Linked DNA regions of Cricetulus griseus. The protein of the gene in region 2 interacts with the protein of the main gene of each other region in a biochemical or structural test. Links are inferred from orthologs where the notes say so. Each region holds a gene or a part of one and is shown on either strand. Other genes may lie near its edges.

Region 1 (3,916 bases), on a different chromosome or scaffold from region 2:
AGCTTGTGGTTTTTTTTGTTTTGTTTTTGGTGTGTTTGTGTGTGTGTGTTTCTTTTTTCAGTCTTTTTTTATTTTTTATATATTTGAATTACAAACAAGATTGAATTACATGACAATCTCAGTTCCCTTCTCCCTCCCTTTCTCCCCTACCACCCCCCCAACTAAAATCCTACCTATCATATGTCCTTTCTTCTAATCTATACCTGACTCAACCTTTCTGCTTCCTCATGACCTCTGTATCCTTCCTTTTCTTCCCTTCTCACTCTCGTAGCTTCCTCCCCCCTCTCCCCATGTTCTCAATTTGCTCAGGGTGTGTGTGTGTGTGTGTGTTTTGAGACAGGGTTTCTCTGTGTAGTTTTTTGTTGTCCTGGATCTCTTTCTGTAGACCAGACTGGCCTCGAACTCAGAGATCTGTCTGCTTCTGCCTCCCGAGTGCGGTGATCAAAGGTGTGTGCCACCACCACTTGGCCAGCCTATTTCTCAGAAGAAGATAAGAGCAATAATTTTGGGTCAGGTTCTAGGGAAAAGCTGTTTTTCCATATATGACATGCATTTAAAGAATGTGGTGGGGGCTGGAGAAATGGCTCAGCGGTTAAGAGCGCTGGCTGTCCTTCCAGAGGTCTTGAGTTCAATTCCCAGCAACCACATGGTGGCTCACAACCATCTGTAATGAGATCCGGCACCCTCTTCTTGCCTTCAGGCATATATGCAGACAGAACACAGTATACAAAATAAATAAATAAAATTAAAAAAAAAAAGAACGCGGTGTTCAGTTTTACTAGTGAGGGCCCCTCTAGTGCAGCTTCCAATATAGCTTCTAACCAGTCTCAAGCAGCGTCTCCATCACGTTTAAAAGAAAAATGAGTCTAAAGGAAGGAAGGAGGGACCATGGGTGCTTTGTCCTCGGCTACTCATCCAAAGAGACTTCATCAGACCTGCTTCTGGGTAATTAACATTTCTGCCCTTCGTCTTTCAACTTCCTAGACGACCCAGATTCCAGACGTTTCCTCCAGTATCTCAAATGCATTAATCTCTCCCCTCTTCCATTATGAGAAACGATCTCCCGATTCAGACCTCAGAGAAACCATCCTTAGGGATCAGTGAGCAGCAGCAGCAGCAGGTGGGGTGCTGCGTGTTTATTAGAAATAAAGACCGGAGTAGGGGCAGGTGTCAACAAAGGTTTTCGCATCCACACTCCACCGCTGGCTCAGCCTGAGAAACCCCAGACACTCCCTTGTTCAGGTCGGGCCTCTAGCGCGGCCCGAATGTGGTCTCAGTCCTCAATTCTAGGCCAGGCCCCGGAGCTTGGGAGCCGCACCTCGGTCCCCACACCACAGCCTCATCTCCACACTCAGCCTTTTCCAGCCCCCACACCAGGCTCTGCTTCAGCACCCGACCGCTTTTTGCTGCAGCCGCTGCCATGGTGATGGGTCTCGCGAGAACTGCCGCTCGCTACCGCGCACTTCTCGCGCGATCGTGGAGGTGGGAAGTATCCCGGACTGGGGGTGGGGGCTCGCCGCACATCTCCTGTCGCCGTCGCGGCTTCCGGTGCTAGGTGGAGGGAAGGAAGGAGGGGAGCCGGGGAGCGGGCCAGCGGACCAGCGTCGCCGCCACGGTCGGCTCGGGGAAGCGGGAGGCAGCGGCCCGAGAGCCAAGCGGAGCCTGCGGGGGCGGAGGTGGCGGTGGCAGCCGCGGCGCTGGGCGCAGGAACAGGTTCGGAGCTGGAGAGGGAAGGCGGGTCCGGGGCAGGGGAGAAGAGGCTGGCTGGGTCGGGTTGCGAGCCGAGGAGCCCGAGGCCCCTCCTGCCGGGCGAGGGGCGGGGGGCGGTGGTCCCCAGCCCCGCTCCTGCCCCCGCAGCTGAAGGACGCCGAGCCGGGGTGGGGGCGGGGGGGGCGCACGCGGGCTCCGTCCTCCGCCTCGCCCGAGGAGGGGGCGACCTGGGCTGCAGAGGTGGAGCTTTCGAGCTTGAGGGGGAGGCGAGTTGACCGGTGGGAGGTGATGCGGGGGCGGTGTGGCTGTTTGGATCTTTTCCTTCTGTTGAAGGGCTATGAGGAATGCTGCCCTTTTTTTTTTTTTTCTTTTCTTTTCTTTTTTCCCCCTCTCTCCCCCGCCTGAGCTGTGGGGGGACCAAAGAAAAGCCTCGCTGTGGTTATATTCTCCCTCGCCCGTCGTGAGGCATGGGAGCCGGGGTTTGGTATCAGGGCCTGCTGGTGGGGCACCGCTGCCCACCGTTTTCATGGAGGTTGCGCCCTGCTTTGGGGTGTTGGGAAGGGCAGGTTGGGAAGAGGGCAGCAGGTGGGGAGAGGGTGGAGAGAGGAGGCTGGAGAAGGGGGAGGGGGACCTGAGCTAGCTTGGAGGATAGAGGTGGGGCCTTCCTCCCCCAGGCGTAGCGGGGGCGGTCTCATCGGAGGAGGGAGCATCTTGTCACTGGCCCTGAGTTTGTGTCTTCCAATCCGCTTTCTTTCTCTAGGAAGTACCAGGATTCCCGGAACAGAAAATGAAGCCCTTGCTTACGCCAGTCCTTTGAAGGAAGGGGGAGGTGGGGAGGTAAAGTTCCCCCATTAAAACGCAGCCCCACTTGATTAGTTAAGTGGTGGACTCTCTTTTGGAGAGACTTGTTCGTTTTGGGAGTTCTGTTACTGCTGGTCTCTGGGCCTGATGGAGGAGAATGTGGTCAGGAATGAGAAGAAAATAGTAAGGTCATGAGGGTGAGGAGAAAGGTAATGTAAAACCTATCTCTACGGACGCTGGATTGGGTCACCCTTGGTCTATGGCATGAAAGTTTTATTGGGAGGAGATCTGCTGCCGGAGTCTGATTGCTTGACTCATTGCAACAGGATAGAATCTAGTCTCTGCATACCTGCATCTGTCCCCAGTCAGGTAGATGGAGACTGTCTTTGCTGCCATTTTGTCTTAGGCCTGTTTGGGGGTAGTGTCAGGATGGGCGGTGGCCAGAGGTGGTGGTCTTTTGTGTCCTGTTTAAATAAATTGTTAAAGCCCGTTTTAAGAAAGGCTCGAATCACTCGTTCATTTTTGCACAGAATGAATCATTGACCTTGGAGGCAGCTGGAAAAGGAAGGCTCCCATTTGTATCACATTCAATGTCTTGCCATCTTGCACAGTCAATTTTCCTTCCTTTCTTTCTCTCTTCCCCTCCCTCCCTTCTTTTCTTTTTTCTTTGAGACAAGATATCTCTGGGTAGTCCCCTTGATGGCCTCAAACTTACAGCTGCTGCCTCTGTCTCTTGAGTGTTGAGGTTACAGTGTGGGTCCCCACAACAGACCCCTACTGGCTATTTTGAGACGTGCTGGGTTTGAACTCAAGAGTCTTTCTTTTGTAAGATGAACAAAGGGATGGGAGTGTATAGCAATCAGCAAGGTTTCTAGCTATAGTTTCAGGAAAAGGGACGGAGGAGATCTCGGCACTAGGAGATGCAGCAGGAGGATAGAGGTTTAGGCCAGTCTGGGTTATGTAGCAAGACTGTCGCCAACAAAACAAAATAAAAAAACCTGACATATTTAGAGATAGACAAGCAATTGTCTATCTTATCAGGTGTTAAGGGTGATATTTTAGTGTGCGTTTATCTGCTCCCATTTCAGTATTTATGAAGAGAGGAAGTGGGATTAAAGGACAGAGCAATCTCTATTGAGAACAAGAAACTTCTTTAAAATTAGGTTTGTTGCCGGGTGGTGATGGCTCATACCTTTAACCCCAGCACTTGGGAGGCAGTTTTATTTTTTAATTATTTTTATTTTATGTGCATTGGTGTTTTGGAACTGGAGTTACAGACAGTTGGGAGCTGCCATGAGGATGCTGGGAATTGAACCTGAGTCCTCCAGAAGAACAGCCAGTGCTCTTAACCACTGAGCCATTTCTTCAGGCACTGAGACCTTACCTTAAAACAAAACAAAAAACC
Region 2 (3,816 bases):
TCTGCATTTCAACAGGCCTCGGGGTGACTGGGTGGCTGAGGGCACCTTGTATTCCCAGCATGAATAGCAGTAGTCTGCACTGCATCACACTTGGTTTATGATTGGGAAAACTTGGCGACAGTTCCTACAAAGGCTGTAATTCTTACAAAAGGGCACGCTTCATTCACATTTTTGTAAAAAGTATTAAAATATGCTTCAGTATTCCTTTCTATACCTAAGCCTTTTCTTCATAGTATATACTGGGAAGTTATGAGATATATATTGAAACTATAAATTATTTAACTCAAGGACTTTCATGTGATTTGGTTTTGAAAACATCAGACTCCAGGGAAACTTGTTTAGATATGATCTTGCCAATTCTTTTACATAGTGAGGTGGTTTGTTTGGTTTTGATAGACTAATGACAGGTTTGTATAGAATTCAGCCCCTAGCATACTATTAGTCCTTTCCTGCAGGAGAACAAGCATATTAATTGTAATCTTAATTGCAGTGTTTGCCCATGTTAAAGGAATTGACACTCAATCTCTGTTCAAAATGTCTGACATATGGAGGAGGAAGTGGATTTTCACAGTTTAATGTCTGCCCTTTCCAGGTCCCTCAGCGCCACCTTTGCCATCTGTTCTGTCTCCCAGCAGGGTTGCAGCTAGTCAACTGGCTCAACAAGGAGGTGATCTAACTGTTCCTGCAGGTATTCACGGCACAGACTGAATGAGCCTCTCCTGCTGATGCCAACCTAACTCAGTTTCATAATTACTCACTCTGTGTTTGTAGGCGTGTGCTCCTCTGGCTGTTACTGTTGCTGCTGCTGCTGCTGCTGCTGCATTCTCTAATGATAAGAGAAGTCATCTTTCTAGCCATCGCCTGTCTTTTCAAAACAAATGGATGCATCTTAAAACCTGAAATTTAATGATTTTTAAATGTGAAAACATAGTAAAATATATTTGGTTTAGTTCATTCTCTCTTTTTTTCTGGCTGGTACAGGCCCACTTATTTGATCCTAACCTCTCAGCTTTGCAGCTCTGCCCTCCTTGCAAACCTAAAGGGAGCTTTGGGAGTCATGTTATTATTGAGAATGGATGGGTCAAGTGAAAAGGTTGTGTATTCTTGTCAGCCTCAGCATACAGATAGTTTGTAGCTTGCAACAAAATACTGAAAAATAGGCTGGATTTAGTAGTGCTTGATTGTAATCTCAGCACTGGGAAGGTGGAGGATGAAGCGTTTAAGGCTAACCTGGACCACATAGGAGAGACTCCCAAAATCAAAACATGAAACGAAAAGAAATGGAAAAACAAACCACACATTTCTTTTTGTATGGCATTAACATTTTATTTACTTATTTTTGCATTGCTCTGATTCTTACATCTATGTTAAAGCTATCCTAAAAGCTAATCTGGCTGTTGGAATAAGGTGGGGGAAGAAAATTTATACTCACCCTGATTTTTGGGGTGTGTGTGAGTACATGCGCATGTGTGGTCCAAAGGTCAACCTTAGTTGCCCTTCACCGGCCCTCTCTGCCTTTACCTTTTGGGGCCAGTGTCTTTCACTAAGCCTGCAGCTTATCAAATCTGTTAGGCTGGCTGACCAATGAACTCCAGGAAGCCCCTCGCCACCATCTGTGCTGGGGTTACCAACCTGCACCACCACACCCAGCTTTTTACATGGGTGCTAGGGATTTGAACATGAGTCCTGGTGCTAGTGTACCAGGCACTTTACAGAATAAGCAATCTGCCCAGACCAGCCAGATTTTTGTTGGTTTTTGTTTTTTAAGATAAGTTTGCCACAGATTTCATTTCTTAAAGTGAGACAAACCACGTGTTTGTTTAATGGACAGAATATTTGTAAGCAATTAGAAAATTATCCTGCATGGTTCTAGAGGCTCTAGTCTTTCACACAGTAGGGACCTTTGTATTTTTTTTATGTTTAAATAGTTCAGTTTGAATAGCATCAGGCTTCATTTTCTCTTTTGTCTTTTGTTATGATCATGCAGGTGGCCAGAGAACACACACAAAAGGTGGACCAGTTATTCTAGCAGATGAAATTAAAAATCCTGCAATGGAAAAGTTAGAGCTTGTTAGAAAATGGAGTCTCAACACATACAAGGTTTGTAATTTTTAAATATTTCCACCCTAACTGTCTCTAAGACTTTCCATTTATAAGTTATGTTATTCCCATTATCATATTTATTATGCTTATACAAACATATGAAAAATAATACTGCCTTCACATGAATATGCAATTTGGAAATAAAATATTTGTTTCATTATTTATCTTTACATATAATTTAAAATTTAGTACAAAGCAATTTTAAGAACACTTACTAAAACATTTAACTCTGACAAATAATACACCTATTTAAAAGAAGACAAAACAAAACAAAACAAAACCCAGTGTTCATGCATGCCTATAATTCTAGCACTTAGGAGGCCAAGGCAGGAGAGTTGTCGAAACTTCCAGGCCAGTCAGGGCTACATAGAGAAATGCTGTCTCAACACAGAAAGACAGACAGACAGACAGACAGACAGACAGACAGACAGACAGACACACACACACACACACACACACACACACACACACACACACACACACACGTTCTTAGAATATCTTTAACTAAAGAACTACTGTAGTGGTACTCACTCCCTCTCCTTTTTTGATAATTCACTTACTTCTTAAGAGACACAGTCTCATTTTGTTGGCCTGTCTGGGCTTCCCTTTCTGGGATCAAGGGATCCTTTGACTTCAGCCTCCTGAGTTATAAGGACTACAGGCTCATGTCCCTGAATGTGACCTTTTCTTGGTATTTTATAACAGACTAGTTCTCCAAAGTTGGAAACTGATTTTGTAATAATTCTTAACTGTACAGGCAGCACCAGATTATAAATTCAGCATGGCTGTTTGCATTATTTCCCTAATGATGTCAGCAAAACAAGCCAATTTTTAAATCTACAGCACATTTGATCCATTACAAATGTCCAAGCCACAAATCCACTTAGTACATGTGAATCTTAATAGGGATCAGACCTACAAGACATGGAATACTTAGATGAAAAATTCCAACAGCTCAGACTATAGCATGAGCTTTGTGTTTTGAGTTGGCTATGGGTCTAGTGGTTGCCAAATCAAAATTGCCTACATTTTTTACACATAGCAGTTTTTCTCTAACATGTTTTCTCAAGACTAAAGCAGGGTGAAGTTATTCTTTCAGTTAATAATTTTAAAATACAACCTGAAACCCTCTTTAAAAAATACAAGCTTTCTTGCAGTATGGGGTGTTTCTTGAACTTGTATATTCTAAGTCAGCACTCTATAACAAGTTTTCTTAATGTTTTTAAGATTTATTTATTTTGTTTTTTGTATGAGTGTTTTGCCTGCATGTAAATATGTGTACCATGTGTGTGCTATGTGCCTATCAGGAGAGGACAGCGTATCTCCTGGAACTGGAGTTCTAGATGGATGGATCCCATGCGGATACTGGGAACTGAAACTAGGCCCTCTGCAAGAGCAACAAATGTTCTTAACTACTGGACCATCTTTCCAGCCCCCAAAATTTTCTTAATAAGATAACAGTGCTTTGAAATCTACACGAATCTTCCCAGAAGTTTATGTCATCATGTCACCTGAGAAATGCTGGTGGTAGTCTGCAAAAAGTGCTGCCTACATTCGCAGTTCTTCTCACACAGGGCATTCCTTATAAGTCCTTGCCCTTCTGTTCTCAGGGGTAGGGATATATGATTTCTGCCTTTATGTCCTCTCGTAATACAACTGTTGATTAATTGCAAATCTTCATCCCTTCTTGTTGATCTACATATCTAATCAGTC

Evidence for each region.
Region 1: the proteins of Arfip1 (region 2) and Arf3 form a complex in vitro, tested with the Homo sapiens proteins (2 studies listed by BioGRID). The link is inferred for Cricetulus griseus from reciprocal best matches to the Homo sapiens genes ARFIP1 and ARF3.

Annotation. Positions count from the first base shown.
Region 1 is NC_048595.1:395,235,426-395,239,341, reverse strand, and holds the start of Arf3 (ADP-ribosylation factor 3), read left to right. Parts: upstream 1-1,522; 5' UTR 1,523-1,713; intron 1,714-2,470; 5' UTR 2,471-2,547; intron 2,548-3,916.
Region 2 is NW_023276806.1:69,867,181-69,870,996, forward strand, and holds part of Arfip1 (arfaptin-1), read left to right. Parts: intron 1-592; coding exon 593-688; intron 689-1,987; coding exon 1,988-2,100; intron 2,101-3,816. UniProt on the Homo sapiens protein: Plays a role in controlling biogenesis of secretory granules at the trans-Golgi network. Mechanistically, binds ARF-GTP at the neck of a growing secretory granule precursor and forms a protective scaffold.